Lepisosteus oculatus: one gene and its partner. The protein of the gene in region 2 purifies or fractionates together with the protein of the main gene of each other region. This does not show direct contact. Links are inferred from orthologs where the notes say so. Each region holds a gene or a part of one and is shown on either strand. Other genes may lie near its edges.

What was found.
Region 1: the proteins of ciao1 (region 2) and narfl purify together in Homo sapiens (affinity purification with western blotting; 3 studies listed by BioGRID and IntAct, with this or other methods). This does not show direct contact. The link is inferred for Lepisosteus oculatus from reciprocal best matches to the Homo sapiens genes CIAO1 and CIAO3.

Annotation. Positions count from the first base shown.
Region 1 is NC_090714.1:11,350,314-11,360,819, reverse strand, and holds the start of narfl (cytosolic Fe-S cluster assembly factor narfl), read left to right. Parts: upstream 1-5,451; 5' UTR 5,452-5,491; coding exon 5,492-5,557; intron 5,558-7,802; coding exon 7,803-7,898; intron 7,899-8,363; coding exon 8,364-8,507; intron 8,508-9,603; coding exon 9,604-9,733; intron 9,734-10,506. Other genes in the region: hexosaminidase D, read left to right, coding at 860-942, 1,321-1,399, 2,430-2,528, 2,909-2,998, 3,580-3,763.
Region 2 is NC_090697.1:70,187,134-70,197,642, forward strand, and holds the start of ciao1 (probable cytosolic iron-sulfur protein assembly protein ciao1), read left to right. Parts: upstream 1-6,002; 5' UTR 6,003-6,281; coding exon 6,282-6,420; intron 6,421-6,941; coding exon 6,942-7,090; intron 7,091-7,221; coding exon 7,222-7,333; intron 7,334-7,876; coding exon 7,877-7,965; intron 7,966-8,742; coding exon 8,743-8,944; intron 8,945-9,544; coding exon 9,545-9,632; intron 9,633-9,983; coding exon 9,984-10,218; 3' UTR 10,219-10,509. Other genes in the region: tmem127 (transmembrane protein 127), read right to left, coding at 1,876-2,186, 2,445-2,609, 4,844-5,087. UniProt on the Homo sapiens protein: Key component of the cytosolic iron-sulfur protein assembly (CIA) complex, a multiprotein complex that mediates the incorporation of iron-sulfur cluster into extramitochondrial Fe/S proteins.

The DNA of each region.
Region 1 (10,506 bases), on a different chromosome or scaffold from region 2:
AACTTCAGTGTTTCATGAAATGAAGATACGCTATGTGTATGTTCCTACCAGCATGGAAAACAATATAAAAGTTTTACTTGTCTTCAAATATAAAAAAGTCTTCCACACATCTTTCATCTTTATTATTACTTTTGTACACACAAAAATGATTTTTAAATAGAGTATAAGAGTTTATTTGCTGTGGTATGACCAGGGTAACCTTTACTACTGATTATGGATTCATACACTCAGCACCTCGGCATACCTCACCCTATAACTCTGGGATATGAGATGCAGGGTGATGTTATAAAGCCTTTTTGAGGTGTGAGAATGTGTCTTATATACCAGTAAATATGGTATATTGTTCCAGAACCAAAAGCATGTGACTGGAATCAGGCTCATTTGAGCCAGACCTTGAAAATTAACGCCACAATGTTCAACTTTTTCAGGTACTAGTGTGGTTGAGGTGAACGTAATTTTATTGTTCCACTATTAAGTTATCTGTTCAGGAATTTATCCAATGTGCCTCACATTTGCACTAATTTATACAGGTGCATGTGTTACTGAAGAACCTTTGCTTCAGGGATTGGTGATGTGCAATAAAATCACAACTAACTTGTTGCATTCCTGTGATTTTACACCTTAATGGGCCTCCAGTCCTGTTACCCAGTGAGAATCAGAAAAGAAAATGTAATTGTGGGCAATGATCATGTTCTCTGTAACACCCACATGGTAAACACTGACCTACGTGAGACTTATTACATTTTTTGGGAGACTGCAGGCCCTCTTAAGAGGATTTTCTGTTTGTTTTTTATAACAAGCAGAAGATAAACACTGGCCTGATTTGAAGACGCTGAGCTGCCTTTGCTGTGTGTTACAGGTACGACCACTTCACCGTGCTGTGTGAGCTCTTTCCTGTGGGCATCCCATCCCTGGCAGTGTGTCTTCAGAGCCTGGCACACGGTCAGCCTGGGGGAGAGAGGGGGATTCTGGGAGTGACGTCAGCGTACTGAATTTGTTGTGTAGTGTTAACCAGAGGAAATATCTAATACAGAATACCTGCAGCCGGGTTCCCAGCTGTGGTGCTGAAATATGTACCATCAGATTTTATTGGGTTTTGAGATCCTAAGAAGGGCACTTAATACAATGTCCAGACCACTTCAGAATTGTTAATAATTACAATATTAAGACATTATGGCTTGTAACCATTCTGTGACCACTATTTTTCTCACTGTTGGTAGTTTCTACACTGTCTTTTAGTTAAATGTGTGCATCTGCTGTTGAAATCTGCCTTTAATCTGTCCCCCCTCCCCCCTCCCCTCCCCCCTAACTGTGCTCCAGGTGGGTTTAATGAAGAGGCGAAGAAGCAAGTTCTGCACATGCTGGGCTGCAAGAACATCAACCTGGAGAAGAGTCTCTGGTAAGGAGATTTCTGCTCCATCATACTGCTGTCAGGTGTGTCAGACTGCTCCTGAGCTCTTCAGAGAGAACCAGTTGCTTTTGGAAGGTGGAGTCCATACCAATGAGGTTGACGTGGCAGTGTGTCTATGGTATTGTGCGCTCGGATTATGAAGAGCTGCAGAAAAAACGAACGTTTTGGACAGTAAATTGTTTTGTCTTTGAACGGATCTTGTGATAAGAGTTCCTCAAGGCCGCTCCTTGAAGACAAACAAACAGTCGAGCCTGTTTTGTTGAATTACTGATATTGAAAACAGCATTTGAGGCCTGTGCAGGAGGATTAAACTGATCCACATCTGAGGTCATAGAACCCTCTTCCTGAGGTCTTGTGCTGTTGGTGATGTAAGAGAGTCAGAGCACACAAGACTTCAGATTGTGTCTGAGCTGTGGGTGACTCCGGACATGGCAGATGGCCAGAATTCCAGGTGCAGAACCTCTGCTTTCTGCCATCACTGTATGTGAATGTGCTGCAGCACCAAAAAAAACCACACACGAGTCTGATTTGATTTTGTCAAGACAGGGACAGCCTATGATTTTCCTAGGCAAACTGCACCCAAAGGTGAATCGGAGTCCTCTCTGTACCCTTCAAAATGAACACCGTCCAGGCTCCTGAGTGACACAATCATTAAAGGCACTGGTCCGAGCGGAGGTTGAGCTCTTTAAACTACGTGTCACGGGTTCGAGTCCAGTTGACTGTGACCAGGATCTCCCATGCGGCGGCACGCGATTTGGCTGAGCTCTGCCTAGGCTGGGGTGGGATTACACACAGCGCCCCCTTGTGGCCCCCCCGCACACACTGGCCCTCCAGTACCCTCTGGTGTGTGTGGTGTGTTAAAGGACGAGCGCAGAATGGGGGATTGTCTGAACTTCCTCATCCTACCCATAAGGTTGCAGGGTTTGGGGCTGCAGTTTGAAAATGCACGAATGGAGAGTTCAAAATCAGGTGCTTCGTAACAAAAAACACTAAAAATATGTTTTTTTTTTATTTGCAGCGAAGGGGGTGGGGCGTTCCCGGGCTATGAAGTGTACCAGATGGTCCTGCACATCAGAGAGAACCTGAAGAGCCAGATCCACCAACAGTTTGACAACCAGTGAGCTGCTGTTTCAGTTTTAGTTTGAAAACAGTCCTCTGGAGCTCAGAGCTCAGCTCCTGGTGATGAGAGTGATAAACTCACCTTGACTTCCTCTGTGTAAGATCTTATAGTAAGGAAGTCAGTAGTCATAATCCCAGCATAATAATTTTACTTGGGGTATTTCCCCTGTTGTCAATGAAGGGCTGAAGCATTGGATAGAATTAAGACGGACAAACAGTGAACCTTGTTTTGTTTTAAAGAAACCTGCTTTAAAATAACAGATTATTTTGTTTTTCTGATGGATTTTGTACATCCAGAAGTCCGCTGTTAAACTCGTCGGTTTAAAATGCTTTAAATGAATTAATTTCAATTGAATGCGCTCATTGATTCTCCAACAGACACTTGAAAGGCTGGTTCTCCCGCTACCACAGGAAGTACAAGTTTGGGAATCCTCGGAACATGGAGTTTTTCAAAGACAAAATGAGCAAGTAAGTCAAGAAGGTCTCAAGACTGGCCAGTTCGAGCAGCTGTTACTGTGACCTGAGAACTGCTCAGCAGTCTGACAAGAGGGTTACAGCAGGGAAACAAGAATGGCCCAATCTACAGTAGCAGGCTGTATGCAATATGTCACCTGTACATTTTCAATTTGGAAAGACCTGGTAAACATGTGAGTTGTGATCAAGTTAGAAAATTGATTTCCTTCCCTCAGGAATGTCCAGCTGGGGTCCTTGAGCCTGGCCAATAGTAATGTACTTATAAATCTTCTGCTTAATTGCACACATCACATGCTTCAGTGGTCAAACTGATAGTGTTCCAAGTGTCTGGTGATTTGAGGTTGAGCTGTTTAACCTGATTGTCAGTGGTTCGCTCGCCCCTTAGTGTCGACTCTTTCTAGCCCTGAAATGTAAAAACTGCGTTGCAGTTGCTCTTTAATGCAGGTGCACTGTAGTCTCATTGTTATTTGGAAACAGAGCTCTGATCTGTGGCTGTGAAGTCTCGGGAGGGATCTGGGTGGTACAGTGGGGCAGACGTGCCCGTGGCTCAGGGGGGCTCTGTGCTTGTGGCGCAGGTTGCTCGAGGAGTGGGAGGACTACCTGCAGAACTTCCGCACCCAGATGGAGGCCATCTACTTCGCCGACACCGTGGAGGAGTGGATGGAGGAGAACGTCAACGAGCACATGGACAAGCTGAGGGAGCTGGCCGCCGACTTCGAGCAGGTCATCAAGAGCAGGGGCGGCCAAAAACCCCTCTGAGGGCAGCAGGACGTCCCCGGAACCGGACGTGGTGGTGGTGGGTGGGGGCCGCGGGCCGTAGAGACGGACTGTTCTGGCTGGACCATGTGCTCCTGTTCCATTGCCCAGCATCTGAGAGGGACAGGGGGCGCTGGAGAGCGGTGGAGGAGACTCTGCCCTCCTGCCTGTGTGCACGTGCCCCCAGTGGCACTTCATGACACCTAATAGGGGCAGAGGGCACAGAGTGTTTAAAAGATCACTTCTTTTTTATTAAGAACATAATGTACATATTGAAGACAACCCTAGAGTTTCGTTGTTGAAACCAAAGCCTCTGTCATAAGATCTAAACTCGGATCAGAAAGGCCAATTAACTAACCCTATTGGATTGACGGGGGCTCCATTCCTCACTGCACTTTTACCTGATTTATAAACCCCAGAAGCTCCCTAGAGAAGAGGGGGCTGTAACCCTGGATATTTTCTGTTTCCTTGTATTACAGCCTCCTGGTGCAAGGAAGTCAATAGGCTGGGGGGTGCATACAATCCAATATTCCTGAGCACTTCAACGGGAATTTTGTTTTCCATGCAGTTTACAATCACTGCATTGCCACTGCAGTTTTTTTACTTTGCTTTTAGAAAAGTTGATATTGCTAAAAAAGTAAATATGTTCTCTAGGGGAAAAAACAACAACATTTAAAGCATGGGTCTCTTCTGTTTCCAGCTTCCTCAGAAAAGTACTTTCATTATCTCTCTTACTTCAGCTCAGGGTTTTTTCTTACTGTAAAATAGAGCTATTCCTTCTGATTATAAAATGTAACACGGATCTGGTAAAAAAAAATAAAACCTAATAGTGATGAGAATTTATGTTTTGTGTAGCACACTTAGAAAACTGTTTAAAAGTCTGGAACAGGGGCATGATACTCAAAGTCATTTATTCTATGAGCCTGAAAATCACTGAGTTCAAATAAATAACTGTGAAATAAACTGGAGGTTTATGTTTAGAATATTTTGAGTCTCTTTTTTTCTGTTCCACTGTGTAACTTGGCTGATTTGATCGTAAGAGGGGCACAAGGTAACCAGGTTAAGTTCTCAGCTCTGATTTATTTTGAGTTTGACACTGTATGTTCCATTATGGTTCAATATTAAAGATCAAAAGTCAAAATGATTGTCCAATTATGCTCCTCGCTTCACGAACGACAACAGCTAAGTACCCGCTGTGCTCCGTTGTGTTTTGGTTGGTCAATTATGCAAATCTGATAATGATATTGTATGTTATACGATTTGTTTTTTGTTTGCGTTAAAATTAAAGATGAACACAAATACACAAAAGGGAATGTCTGCCTGCCTCTGCAGTCCTGCTAGGTGTAGGCTGCGTAAAAGTATTTCCAGTTTCAATGTTATTCTGGATCCTTAAAACCACAGTAGTTTTTTTGAATGTTTTTCGAATGGAACTGTCCACCTGCTTTTGAACCCTTGAACTAATTAAAGGCGTTTCTAGTGATGTAATAATAAATATAATGTAAGCGAATTTCGCTCTAAACTGAGCCGTGCGTAAAAATATTTTGTATAGTCAGCCGTTTTAGACACTAATCCACTTGAACCGCTTACCTTGACGCCAAAGAAACTGCGACCTCTGAAGGACATCCGAGGTACAAGTGTTAATTTTGCGACAGTACGGCACGAAACGTACAGTACGTATCGTGTTTCCAAGTTACAAAATAACAAACCAACGCACGGCAGCGTGGCAGGAAGATGGCTTCTCATTTTAGTGGAGTTTTGCAGCTGACAGATCTGGACGATTTTATTACTCCGTCCCAGGTAAGAGAACGTTTTTAAAATTTGAGTTGTCGGAATCAAGTCCGTTTTTTTTATTCATCCAGTTCTTCGAATGGGAGGAAGGCAATCAGTTCTCGCCGGGTTTTTTTTTTACAGGAACATAGACCGCAAAAGTGAAATTGTTGAGGTTAAATTTAAGGTATAAGGTTAAATATTTTTTTCCCGACATTCAGAACACGTTCCCTGGTATAAATGTGAATGGACCATTATGTGTTTTCTAACCTGTTTAACACGAGATCTGGTCCCGAACTTCATATTATATATCGACGTTAGCAGGGTTGTGCGACTGTCAAGCTTTCGACGAATCAATTCAAACCGCTGTGTCTTACTTGTGAAAATAGTTTTCCTATTCCTGCTGGCATCTCGGATTACACAACGTAATTTCTGTGTTAAACCTCTCGAGTTAATAAAAGCAAAGTCGCTTTCGAGGACATTGTGTGATGTGATAGTACTGGTTTTAAATAAGATACTTCAAGAGCAGGCTCTTTCTTTCTTGTGTCACCTTAGCTAATGTAGCAGGGCTGTATAACTCCAGTGTGAAATAACTGTTACGTTGGGCCAGTTCAGTTTTTTAGTGCTTTTCTGGACACTCCACTCAAAGCGCTTTACAGGTAATGGGGACTCCCCTCCACTACCACCACCAGTGTGCGGCCCCACCTGGATGATGCACCAGTCTGCTCCCCACACACCAGCTCTCAGTGGGGAGGAGAACAGAGTGACGAAGTCAAGTCAGGAGGAAATTTGGCCAGGACACTGAGGTTAACACTCCTTCACTGTTTGGAAAAAATGCCCTGGGATTTTTACTAACCACAGCGAGTCAGGAGCTCAGGTTTTACACCATTACTATACTGGGTCATTAGGACCCACACAGGCTGCAGGGTGAGTTGTTGGCTTCTGGGTGTTTTATATATTGTGAGATCCTTTAAATGCAGAGATCAATCACTTCTTTCTAGTACAGAGCTGTTTATAACTAAGGAGGCGCAGAAACAACTTTGGCATCTGGACTCCTAGGACTGAGGCTTTCAAACCCCTGTTGTATAGTATCACCTTGCCAAGGAAGATTAAACCAGGCAGCTTTCCGCTGAAATTCGACTCCCTCCTCTGCTCTAAGCATAAAGCGCTTGTCTTCCGGAATATGTTGGCAGCGGTGTAGCTAACTTGTTACACCCTTTCGTGTGTTGGGAGTGTTTTTTTTTTCTGTTGTTGCGTCACATGTTTAACATGTAGTGGACAAGTTTTGTCTGAGCCCCTGTTCACAGCGGTTAACTGCCCCGAAAGCCTGGAGTCTAGTGATAAGACACTTCTTGTGTGCTGCCCAGAGATGACTCGGTATCTCTGTGCCGCCAGAGAGTTACACTGTGCAGGTCAGACCCTGTACTCTGTCTGTGAGAGGGATAGCTGCACATCCTCCAGAGTCTGGTGGCAGAGGAAAGCTCAGGACCCTCCTGCCTCAGGCTGGCCCACTGCTCGCTCTTCCTGACTGGGGGGGGAAGGGCCTGAAAGAGTCAGAGCAGGGCTGGAGCAGGCCGGGAACTCTGAACCCACTTGGCACAGCTCACGCCTGGAGGTCCTGGGCAGAGGGCACCTCCCTCTCAGAGATGTGCAGAGGGTGAGGTAACGCCATGGGTATCAGGCAGTTATACTCTCACTCAACTGAGGGCTTTGCTCCCTGGCTCTAGCTTCAAAAACCAACAAGTCAGGGCTTGTTCCTCACTGACACGCAGGAAGAAGAGGAACAGGAATGTTTCAGCTGTCTTCAGGTGTGACAGGTGTGTGTCTTTGCCGGCACAGCTCCCCCCCTCGAGCGGCTCAAAAACTGTCCAAACTTTTAATAATAATAATCATTAATAATTGCTTACACTTATATAGCGATTTTCTGGGCACTCCACTCAAAGCGCTTTTACAGGTAATGGAGACTCCCCTCCACCACCACCAGTGTGCAGCCCCACCTGGATGATACAACAGCAGCCATAGTGTGCCAGAACGCTCCCCACACATCAGCTATCAGTGGGGAGGAGAACAGAGTGATGAAGCCAATTCATAGACGGGGATTATTAGGAGGCCATGATGGCCCAGGAGGTCTCCCATCCAGGTACTGGCCAGGCTCACACCTGCTGAGCTTCAGTGGGTTGCCAGTTGTGAGTTGCAGAGTGATATGGCTGCTGGCTTTTCCTGGTTGTTGAGTTTTTCTGAGCTCTGGCCTTGCCTCTTTTTGTGAATACCTCAGGAGTGCGTTAAGCCGGTGAAGGTTGAGAAGAAACGGGGGAAGTCGGTGGCCAAAATTAAAATCGAAGACGATGGGAGCTACTTTCAGGTTAACCAGGTGAGGAGACCAATTTTAAAGGAAGACCAATTTCACATATGACAGCTGTGTGTTAGTTGGCGAGTTATAATCCTGCAAGTACAAGAGGTTCTTTACTTTCACTCCTTCAAGCAGTAAGTGAATGAATTAGTCTGGCGATGGGGCTGTGTTGATGCCACAGTAATCCTGCTCATTATGAGGAGGTTTAGAGATTTGATGTTGGGCTGCGAAGACAATAATGCAAAGCTGCCGTCGTTGGGGATTTTGACTGACCCTGAGAAACAGAAATGCATCTTCTCTTTGTTTTAAGTAGAGATCTTTTCTGGAATTATGGTGTCAGCCAGCCTGAGCTGCCTGAGGGCTTGTGTGGCCGGGCCATGGGTAGCCTGGGTAGTCTGGGTAACCTGGGTAACCCGGTTGCCTGGGTTACCTGGGTTGCCCAGACCGTAACGCTGCCCGTCTGTGTGTGTGTGTGTTTCTGGGCAGGATGGTGGGCTGCAGAAGCTGGAGAAAGCGAAGATCACGCTGAACGACTGCCTGGCCTGCAGCGGCTGCATCACATCCGCGGAGAGCGTCCTGATCACGCAGCAGAGCCACGAGGAGCTGTACAGGGCCCTGGAGCACAACAAGGTTCCCCGCAGCGCGCACGCCCACACCCGTGCCATGCAGTAACAAATGAATCAGTGGGCACAAAAGGACATTTCAGGGAATTGCATTTAAAATGAGAACAGGAGGCACATCTTTACACAAAGAGTAGTGGGAGTATGGAATCGGCTACTGTGTTGTTGAAGTGGATACCATGGTGTCTTTCAAGAAACAGCAGGATGAGATTTCTGGGATCTGCTTTTAACTAGATGGGCTGAAAGGCCTCCTCTCGTTTTTCTTACTTTCCTCTGGCTGTGAGACTAGATTTTGAGAGGGTCTGAGAGCTACATATTTTACAGAACGGCTGCCAAAGGCCTTTAATACAGGAATAAGGAAGCAGGAGCACACAGCCGTCTTGGAGAAGATGCCCCACTCACCTGCCACACAGCTGCAGAGATGGAAGGGCTTAAGAGACAAGATAGAGGTTCTGGACTTTTACAAGACTGTAATGAAAACCGTAGGACTCAAAGTACATGCAGTAGTTGGTCATTCAAAAAATAATTCAAACACGTCATTTTTATTTCTGAATGTTCAATTTTTTCGCCAGCTTGCAAAGCCATGGTGAATTATTATTTCTGGGTCCAGCTTGGCGCTGTTTAGGTACTGCAGTAGGTCTGGAGTGCCAGTTAACCAGCTTGTTTTGTGTTCTCACCTGACCACAGATTTACGCCTTAAAAAGACAAATGCACAGCGCTGAACTGCTGTGCTTACAATAAAATCGTACAACAACTTCAGTCATTCATATTCAGAATGTGGCATCATTTTTCAGTTTTCAAGAACAGAAAAAAAGACTAAAAATATTTCATGTTAGAGAGGGAGGTCTGTGTTTTTCCATAGGAATTGGATTTCTAGGACTCTTGCTTTTTGAGATAAAGTTTACAGCAGCATCTGATCCACTGCAAGTGATTCGTAGTGCCTGTCTAATTCATTCGAAAGTTGCTGATTATCTGAGGGATCTGCTCCCTCAGTGTGTGAAGGGGTTCCAGTCTAAGCTGGGGTGGATGATATTCTGGGCCCAGCAGAACTGTGCTGTCCGGGAATGGGACCCGTACTGAGGTTGGACATGATCTCTGTCTCACAGCAGATGGGTGCTCCGCAGAAGGTGGTGGTGGTCTCCGTGTCGCCCCAGTCCAGGGCGTCCCTGGCTGCCCACTTCAACCTGAGCAGCTCGGACACGGCGAGGAGGCTGACGTCTTTCTTCAAGAACCTGGGTGAGCAAGTGGACAGACCAGCAGGCCACAGGGTTGTGCTCATCAGTGTGGATGAGCATCCAGTTAATGGCATCAGGAGATCATAAAAGTCATTTTTCTTTTTTTCAGTTGGATTAGTTATGGTTAATCTGATCTGTACTCCCTGGCATATCAGTATGCCTGTGCCTTTATTTATAGCACCGGGGCCGAAGGCAAGTGATTTTGGTACAGATTGTGTAATAATGGCAGATAAAACAAAACAGCAAGCCTCCGAAATAGCTTCTTCTCCAGAGCCGTCAAGCTGGTGACCTCCCCAACTCCCAGCCACCAAACCATGATCTCTCCTCACTTCTTCCTGTGACCACACAACGACTGTACTCCCACACCACTACATACACCATAACTCTGAACTTGGACATAAAACTGCACTTGATTGAGTTGCACTATTTGATAACGCTGTATTATTTTGCACTGTTTGTGTACTTTTGCACAGTTCTTAACAGATATGGATACTGTCATACCGGTACCATACTTGTTGTTTACATTGTTATTGTATTTACTGTCTGTTGTCTTGTCTGCTGTTCTGTGTATACTGCACCACAGTGACTAATGAGAAACACTTTTCATTATACTATGCACCTGTGTAAGTATAATGACAAATAAAGTTGAATTGAACTGAATTAAACAGATAGACAATAAGACAGTTCAGCATGTTGGTCTAAAAACAGTGTTTGGGTATCGCTTAAAGCTGGGGAAAGCTGAGTGGTATCTTGACACACTCTCTGCATGTCTGT
Region 2 (10,509 bases):
TTGACAAAGCAGCAACACTATAAAGCCAGGAGTATGCTCAAACAATTTTCAACACAAAGCCAAAGCCTCCTGTTGTTTTAACATTCAACACATATTTTAGGAACTCATTTTCACGGCACTGTTTTCTCAAGTCTGTCATTCACACTCATTCACTCTTGTAAAACAGAATGCTTGAGTCCTGGCTTGGGAAGGCCTGTGGCCTGTTAGCTGCGTGGCTGTGAGGTGTGGTTCTGCTGGGCTGGAGGAATCTGTGGAGTGTCCACAAAGTGCTGTCCAAGCATAACAGTCAAGACAGAGAAACTACACAGGCACAATTCAAATGTCTCTTGCACTGCGAAGTTCAAAAACAAAGTGAGAAGGCTGAAACACGTGACTATATACATAATACAGCTGCTTTAAAAAATTCTGTTGAACGCTACACAATCTTTAATTGAACCCTCTTCTTTTTGCAAGGGGTTCTGTTTTTTTTTCAACATAATAATCTTAAATAATTATATAAAAGAGGGTGGTGATTAACAATACACATTCCTCAACATCTGGCCCCCGGTTTAAAATATCAGTGATTTGCACTGTATGGATTGAAAATGATTAATACCTGCTTCAAAATACTACTTTTAAAATGGATATCATTAGCAACCTGTTTCTTTAACAACCTCAGAGCCACAGAGAATGAAGTACTATATAAGCACTGTGGGAAAATGATAAAAGAAGCCAAAATGTTAAACTGCCAGAGAAGTTTTGGGAGAAAGACTTTGGCACTTTTCCTAAATTCTTAGTCCAGTGTGAAATATCAGAATAATACATTTCAGCTTCCACTGGGATTCTGACCTGACTGTTTCAAAGGCTGAATGTCTGTGTTGAGCGAGACTTCAGGCCAATGTACAGAACCACAGTACAGAATTGTACAATATAAATTGTGTAATCTGAAAGAAAACAGGACTGGTAAGATGAATTCACACCTAGAGCAGTTTAAAGAGAATCAGGGGAATGTGCAGGAAATGGACCCTCTATACTAGGATTTTCCACAGTGTAGATTACTGCAAATGAAACTTGAAACTTTTTGTATTTCAGCATTGCACTAGAACGGGCATCTCCAACCGTACTCCTGGAGAGCCCCAGTAAACCAAAGCCAATGAGTCGTCAATCACCAAAGACGGGGAATAAATCACCTGCATTGAATCACTATTTTCTACATGAACATAATTTAGAAATCTGAAGATCAAAAGCTCCCTTAATCAAGCACTCTGTAGATTGCTTGATGATTACTAAAACATTGCCAGTCTTCAGAAACAGGTGATTTGGGGTTATCTATTAGACTTCCTGGATCGGGGGTGTCTAGTAGCAGGGCAGGGGACCCCAGTGATGCTATAATCTGTTCTTCGGCTGTGTCTAGACAAAAATGGCACACGGAGGGCAAAACATACTAGGAATTGCAGAACATGAAGGACATTTTCAGCAGGAATCTTCACCGTCCTTACATAACGACTCTAATTCAGTAGTTACCAGATGGAATACTTCTGCCTCCATGTCTAAGTGTGAACCCAGCTTTAGGAAAAGGCTCCTATGGGTAGGTCCTCAGTGACCTGGATCCCTCCAATTCCAGTTCTTTCGCATTCCAAGGTTTTGGACCGATCAGTTAGATGATCAATTTACAGATGTGGCTACAACAAAGTCCAGTGTTAGAGGAGACAGGGAGGTGGGGTCGTCTGGGAACCTCTTTGAGCTGCTGAAATTGCAGGAGCAGTGGAGTACAGATCCGACCCCCTGGGACAGGCCAGCTGGGTAAAGTGCTGGGTGCACACCCCTGACTCGTGCGTGCGTGCGTGTTTGCGTGTGTGGGGGCAGGGGGTGGCCGAAGGGCGGCGCAGGCCTGGTTTAGGGCGTGTAAGCAGGAGGGGGCTGGAACTGATTGGCAATGTCATAGTCAGCGGGGTACGTCTCGCTGCTCTCCTCCATCTCCGACAGCAGCTCCAGGGCCTGCTCCTCTTCCTCCGTAGGGTAGTGGCGCAGCAGGTTGGCGGCCGTGGCCAGGATGGAGGCCCCCCCGGCTCCAGCCACCAGGTAGAAACTGATGGCGAAGGTGACGTAGATGAGGGAGCCGTGGTACTTCTTGTGCTGCTGCTGGAGAGACAGGATGAGTTCGGAGGCCCAGTAGCAGAAGCCAATCACCGTGGCGCACTGCAACACTGCAGGAGAGGGGAGACGAATGACAAAGCAGAATTAACACAGCTTTGGGGCACACTGACATATCACACTTATCACCACTGCACACTTTCCCCAAGATCTTACTCAGCACTCCTTGAAAGTAAGACAAGATGTTACAGCAGGACTACCCATAGGTAATGCAACTGTTCCTTTCTGATGACATTAGCAGTTTCTTTGGGCTTGTTCCCTGGTTCTTCCCTGTGTTGGCCCGCTGGTCCAGAAACACAAGCTCCAGCTACCTGTGAGGATGTGCGCGAAGGCATAGCGGCGGGTGATTTTGAGGGCTGGGTGCTTGGGGCCGAAGACGTCCAGCAGGAAGGCACTCAGGCTGCAAAGTATGCCCAGGAAGCAGAAGGCAGCGATGACACGCAGCAGCAGGACAGTCTGGGGGTTCATGCAGTAACCTGTACAGAGGACGCACAGAGAACACGGAGGAGAATTAGTCTTTCTCTCTTTTATGGGATGAACAACAACAGTTCTGATCGCTGTCACAGAGAAGGAAACAGGAAGTGCACCATCTCAGTAGGTCTGCATTCCGTCTGCAAAACCAAGTCATTAACAACTCCAGTTTTCTCTTTAAGAAAGTTGGATGAATAGAACTAAGTCTAGATTTCATTCAATACAAAAAAAATACTAAGTGAAAAATACCTCCTATCGGCGTGCTGCTTTAAATCTGGGATAACTTGCATATAAATGTTCATTTCTTTCAAAAACCAATTGAACAATGCAGGAGAGAGCAGAAATACAAACTCAATCCACTCTGTTTTATCTTTCGCAATGATAAGACAACTTTGGCTTTTGGCAGAATACAACTTCCCTCAGCAGCTGCAGACGGCCATGCCTTGTCTGTCTCGTCACAATGAGTCACAGCTAAAGCTCGTCAAAGGTTTCAGTTCCAGACTCGCAGTCGTTCAGAACCACAGCCTGTTGCCTAAATTCACACGGCCTTGAGCTATTGCTGGTCATGCTCTACCTCAAGTTCCTGGTTTTGAAAAGATTCTTCCTCGTTTCTGTTGTTCCTGCTATAGCAAATCCTAAACGTATTTCTCAAGAAAACCAGGGAATTTTGGCAAGGTGATACCACAAACAAACGTATTAAATGTTTTGTGAAAAACAGCTCTTATTCCGTACTTAGTGCCTCACTATATATGACAGTAGACAAATTGTAATACAACTGACATCAACACAAGATCCTACGCTATAGTCTTGCAAAATCCTTTGTAATCTTCAGAGAAAGAGTCACTGCAAATATTACTCCGTACAAATTTCAGTTCCACTTAAGAGTCTTCTGGCCTATATCTGGTCTGCCTAAATCCATCTGTCCAGTTTCTAACTGCTTTATCCCATACAGGGTCGCAGGGAAGCTGGAGCCTACCCCAGCAAGCAATGGACACAAGGCAAGATACACCCTGGATAAGACACCAGTCCATCACTGGGAAAACACACACACTCTGACTCATTTTCCAAGATGTCCCTGGACTGTGGGAGGAAGCTCACACGAACACGGACAGAGCATACAGACTCCACACAGAAGTGACCCCAGGAACTGAATCCAAGACCCCAGCACCATGAAACAGCAATAGGAACCACTGTGCCCCCATGCTGCCCCCACCTGCCTAAATGTCCTCACTAATTCCATTACTGATGTAAAATCTCGGCTGAGCTGCTGGTACAGACTGGGTGCTACACATCACTCAGCTAGTGAAGTGTGTCCCCTCCGATGTGTAAAGAGCTTTTGGGATGAAATGGTTTAAAATTGCAAAAATTGAGTTTCTGATTTTAGGATTCCTTCATAATAGTAAGGTTTGAGAGTTTCTATGAGCTTTCTCAGCGCACAGGCCTGAAAATTATTAATAATAATAAATAACAATTCCTTACACGTATATAGTGCTTTTCTGGACACTCCACTCAAAGCACTTTACAGGTAATGGGGACTCCCCTCCACCACCATGATGTGACGGCAGCCATAGTGCGCCAGAACGCTCACCACACACCAGCTATCAGTGGGGAGGAGAGCAGAATAATGAAGCCAATTCATAGATATTATTAGGAGGCCATGATTGGTAAAGGCCAGGACACAGGAGTAACACCCCTGCTCTATTTGAGAAATGCTTTGGGATTTTTAATGACCACATAGAGTCAGGGCCTCGGTTTTGTCTCATCCGAAGGACGGTGCCTTTTCTACAGTATAGTGTCCCCATCACTATACTGGGGCATTAGGACCCATACAGACCTCAGAGTGAGTGCCCCCTACTGGCCCCACTAACACCTCTTCCAGCAGCAACCTCAGCTTTCCCAGGTACTGGTCAAGCTCACACCTTACTTTCAGTGGGCTGCCAGCTGGGAGTTGCAGAGTGATAAAGCTGTTTAACCATTAGGTTTCATGTTGGACAACATTACATGTTGTTTATGGGGATTTAAAATGTAAATGACATGTAACAAGTTACACATAATACACCTAGATTTATGACATTAGCCCCTGAATAAAATACATGATTCTTATTACAAGCTTCTTCCACAAACAATAAAGAACTTATTAACAGGTTTTACATCTCATCCGAAGGACGGCGCCTTTTTACAGTATACTTAATTAAGTCAATTAAGCTCAGATTTAATGGTGCAGTACGTCGATGGTTACCTTCCAACAGCTTAGGGTCCACATATCCCAGGACATCCGCTACGCCGAGCTCCTGTCGCGGGCAGGCCCCCCCGTGAACGCGCAGCCAGGCCGGCTCGGCCAGCGCAGTGCACAAGGCGGTGATGGACAGGGCTCCGGGCAGCGCCGAGGCCAGGCTCCTCTCGGGCTGCTTCGGGAGAGCGCTCCCCCCCGGCCCTCGCCTTCGCCGGCTCCCAGGCAGCCCGGGTCCCGGTGGCGCGTACATGTCGCCCACAGACGTGCTCTAATAACAGGCAACTAGCAGAGAAGGCGGTCTGGGTTTACAACAACCGCCCGCCGCTTTTAAAAGTGGTTAATTTAAATCCCGCCCGAGCCAGGCTTAAAACCCGAACACACAAATGGTAAACTATTCAACTATGAAATGATAAGGATTAAGTTCTATATTAAGACTGTAGATCTGAATGGATACTTAATGTATACACCGGCCGGGAAACAGCACAGAATTCCTTTTGTTACAGCGATTAGGACATTCAGCGGTCTTGCGTTTACGACGTCGTTAAATTCATTCGAATATTATGTAATCGCTAAACATTAGCCAGAAAAGGATTTTAAAATTCGAAACACTGCAATCAAATCGCATTAAGTAACAAACAACACTATCAGAATATTTTGGTTGTATGAACTATGTCTCTCGGCCTATGAAGACTTAACTAGGTAGTAAACTACAGTTTTGTGTAGTGGTATTTATCGACAAAAGTTCTGTACCCGGATCGGGTCTATATCGACTTGAATTACGGTGTCGAAAATCCCGGTTCCGATCTAACACTAAAATCATTAAATTATCGTCTAATTGTCTCTGGAAAACAAAAGACAACCTATCTCCTTCTGTGCTTCCTGTTTCCCGGAGGTGACAGCAAGTGACGTCTGATGGCGTAACTACCGTCCAAGAAGGTAATGAATTCTGGTAGTTGAAGTTGTTGAATATTTTCAAACTTTCTAACGGAAATGTATTTTATGACTTTTAAGAGGAAACGTAGTAACAGTAATAGTAAATTCCATGTTCGTTGACCCTTAATAGGCCACTACACATCTGTGAAGTCGACTGTCTTGTCTCCGCTTCATAGTTTCTCTGAACTATTTCAGATCATAAACTCAAGTTCCCAGAGTGCCCCTCGGCTGACTGACATAATCGAGGAGTGTGCGAAAAAGCACAAGTCTTTTGCACAGTTTACATTTCGGGGCTGAATGTATTAAAATATTGGTGTTATTTCCTGAAAAGGGATTAATGTAGATGTGTAACCCGTCGGTTAATCTGCGATTGTCTTCGGCGGTTATTAGCAGCTGCTGATAACTGCTGTGTTAATAGCGTTTTGTGAAGCACCGTAGTTGGTTAGCGTACAATTTTTAAGTTTCGGCTTTTACCAGGGGTCACCAAAGCACGGTTGTCATACGTATCATCATGAAAGACTCACTGAAACTGGTCACAAAGTTCAGCGGCCATCCAGATTCGAGGTGCTGGTACGTGGCGTGGAACCCCAATGGGACCCTGCTGGCTTCTTCGGGCGGCGACAGGGCCATTCGAATATGGGGCCGAGAAGGTATGTTCACCCGCAGGCGGCGGGCACTTTCAAGCTTCAGTCTGTGCGTCGTTTTAGCTCTGCTGACAAAACTGCGCGCCAGCTTGCTTAACTGACCTACTGCGCCGCGAAAATAAAGAGACCCTGGTGCCCATATCGAGCCACGACGTGTCTGTTACTGACGTGCAGTTCATAATTGAGGCATGTAAGAGTAAAAAGTGATCTGAAATACTGGACAAATACCGAATCTAACCTACCTTTCCGGATATATCTGTCAATGCAGGAACTGCTCACCGTTTATATTTTTAAGCATTAGCTGACAGTAAACATGCAACATTTAAATTCGCTTGATTTAGGAGAGTTCAAGTTTTATACTCAAGTTTAACTGGCACTGCATGTGTGCCGGAACGTTACCTTTCAGTTCAGAAGCATGATGTTAAAACAAATGGATAATGCGAACGCTCTTCAGCCGTCCTCCCCCGCGCATTTCTTCCCTGGATGTCTGCTCTTCCCTTACTCTCTTCCCTCCGGTGGCTGTGCAGGTGATGCCTGGGTGTGCAAGTCAGTCCTGCAGGACGGGCACCAGCGGACTGTGCGGAAGGTGGCCTGGTCTCCGTGCGGCACGTACCTGGCCTCGGCCAGCTTTGACGCCACCACGTGCATTTGGCGGAAGAAGGAGGACGATTTCGAGGTAACGTTAGCCCAGCGCCTGTCCGAGCAGAGAGAGGTCCTGACCCAGAGGAGTTACCTGGATAAGGACCCGGGTTTTTTTCAACGCGGTTAAAATGGGCGTTTTCTGTCTTGTCTGTCTTTCTGTCACAGTCTCTGACCACTCTGGAGGGTCACGAAAACGAGGTGAAGTGCGTGGCGTGGGCCCCCTCGGGCTCCCTGCTGGCTACCTGCAGCAGAGACAAGAGTGTGTGGGTCTGGGAAGGTCAGTACAGCGCCGACTCCTCTCACCCCTGCTGGGGCTTGCTTACCTGTTGGACCTGCAACCCTGCTGTTAAATCCAAGTTAATTGTCTTTCTTTTTTTTTTCTTTAAAAGAGGAGGAGGGTGGCTGATGTAAAAAGTATGGTTTATTTTGAAAAAATAAGCAGGGCACTTACATTTTTTCCTCAGTAAACAAACTCCAGTTGTTTTAGTTGCAGTCAATACACAGTTTTAAGTGAGATTTCTTTAAATATTCCCATATGTTTAGTCATTTTCTTCTAGTGCCAGAGGCAGTGCCAATATTCCACTTATCTTCTGTCATGTGATTTGACGGCTTATGTAATCAAGCATCACTTGATTAGTGGTCTGTAGCCACTGATTGACTGGAAAGCCCATCAGGACTGGTGGTCTTGAGGACGAGAGTGGGAGACCAGATTTCTGAAGGACCACAATCTGGCTGGCTTTTTTTCTGAGCTCCGACAGTGGTTTAAGGAAACCTGCCGGACTGGTGCTGAGTGCCAGCTGACCCGCTGTCTGTCTTGCAGTGGACGAGGAAGAGGAGTACGAGTGTGTCAGTGTGGTGAACTCCCACACTCAGGACGTCAAGCACGTGGTATGGCACCCCACGCAGGAGGTACGACTCTGCTGTCTTCCCCGTGTGCGGGGTAGGGCTCTGTCATTGCTGCAGTCTGTGATCCCCCTCTCTCTCTCGATTGCTCAGACCCAGTCTCTCCCACAGCCTGTTCCTCTTCTGCTTCCCTTCTTGTTTTCATCCAGTGCATAATGAAGTAGGCTTGAAGAAGACCTTTTTATTATCACCAGTATTTAGAAAATTATAGATTTTCACGTATCTGCCAAATCTTAAGGAAAAGCACCTGACGAGGTTTTTTAAGAGCTCGAAACAATGAAAAAAGCAGCTTGCCCCTTCAATGAAGGGTTTAAGTAAGGGTGTAAGGACGGAGTGGGGAAATGACTGCTGTCCGTCACATGTGATAAACTCAATAATCCAGGGGTCTATATGGAAGTGCATATAAATGGAGAACAGGAGGCGCTTCTTTACTGAAAGGGCGATGGGAGTCTGGAACAAGCTACCCAGCCATGTTATTGAAGCTGAAACCCTGGGCTTTTTCAGGAAACAGCTTAATGAGATCCTTGGATCCATGAATTACTAGCTGCCAATTAGAGTGAATGGTCTCTTCTCCTTTTAAGCTCTTAGCAGTTGATATCCTCTCTTTGTTTGCTGGAAGCTGCCTGTGAAGTGTAAGCGTCTCAGTTTGTAGACAGGCTGAATCTTTGGCGCAGCCGGGACGCTCTTTCCTTCCTTTCTAGAATATTCTCTCCTGGCCCTGTGGTTGAAAACTCCAGTGGTCTCAGCTTGTCGTGCGTCTCTCTCTCCTCCCCCCCCACGCAGCTCCTGGCCTCGGCCAGCTACGACAACGCGGTGAAGCTGTACCACGAGGACGATGACGACTGGGTGTGCCTGACCACCCTGGAGGGCCACGAGTCCACCGTGTGGAGCCTGGCCTTCGACCAGAGCGGCGAGCGGCTGGCCTCCTGCAGTGATGACCGGACCGTCCGCATCTGGAAGGAGTATCGCCCCGGCAACGAGCAAGGTCTGCAGCAGTCACTCCCCTGGTTCAAGTGTCCAGGAAAGATGAGCCTGTTTCATATCTCGGTTTTGGGACTCTGACGTGCCTCTGCAGGGGATTAGTAAGGACCCTTCTGGTTTCCCTTGTTCTTTATGCTGAAGCATGTTACAAGTTTGGTCTAATCTTAAATGCCTTAGGATGGCATGGAGGTGCAGTGGTCAGCACTGATGCCTCACAGTGCTGGGGCTCTGGGGTTCAATTCCAGACCTGGGATGCTGTCTGTGAGGAGTTTGTATGTTCTCCCATGCTCATGTGGGTTTCCTCTCACAGTACCAAAAAGATACCGGTAGGCTAATTGGCTTCTGTGAAAATTGGTCCTGGCATGTGTGTGCGCATGTTTGAGTCTGTGTGTGTGCCCTGCGCTCGACTGGTGTCCCACCCATGGTGTATCCTGCCATGTGCCCATTGTTTAGCAGCTTGCATTAAAATTGGAACGTTAAAATATTAAAATAACATTAAAATAACAGCTGAATCCAAGCAAATACCACAGTAGGACAGAGCCACGACGGGTGATGTCAGATGAGGAGGGTTTGTGTTGGGTCTGAAACGGTGTGTGTTTTGCAGGAGTGGTGTGCAATGGGACTGACCCCACCTGGAAGTGCATCTGCACTCTGTCCGGCTATCACACGCGCACCATCTACGACATTTCCTGGTAAGATTCCTCCTCCCAACTGGTACTGTTTAAGGGAGAAACAAACACTGTTTTACTCTATAGTGGAAATAGATGAACAAGATGCACTTCCATCTTCCCACATGGCTACAGGTTCCTTTCCCACTGTTTCCCGAGACTTTCAGTCCAGTCCCACTGCCAAGACATTTAGACCTAAAAACCAAATAGCAACTTTTATAGATTTTTTAAAATAGTTTTAGACCACAGCCACTGTATGTCAGAAAAGCTAGAAACAGACTTTTGCCTCCATCATTCAGTGCAGGCGGAAGTCTGAATTTCCCAGAATTCCTGTATACCACTGGTATAAGACAACTGTCTCTATTGTGCTGCCAGGTGTCACCTGACTGGCGCCATGGCGACAGCCTGCGGCGATGATGCCATCCGCGTGTTCGAGGAGGAGTCTTCCTCCGACCCCCACCAGCCCACCTTCTCCCTGATGGGCCATGTGGCTAAGGCCCACGCACAGGATGTCAACTGTGTGGCCTGGAACCCCAAGGAGGCGGGGCTTCTGGCCTCCTGCAGTGACGATGGGGAGATTGGCATCTGGAGCTACCAATCCCAGGCCTGATGGGGCTGGCCTCCTGTGAAGCAGGATCCAATAAAAACCAACCAGTGAGATACTTTCAGCGAGCATATTCAGCACTAACAGGAAATTGCCACTGATGGAAATTCCAGTTCCCCGTTTGCCTCAGTGTTAAAAAAAATACACAAACTAGGCTACTTTAGTTTTGCAATCCGGTGAAAGTGGTTGATTTGGGGGAAATCTGTGTGAAGATCACATCATCTGAATATTATTTTATATAAGCACAGGTATGTTTCATTTCTCTTGTACATTTTTGGCATACCAGGCTTTTCTGAG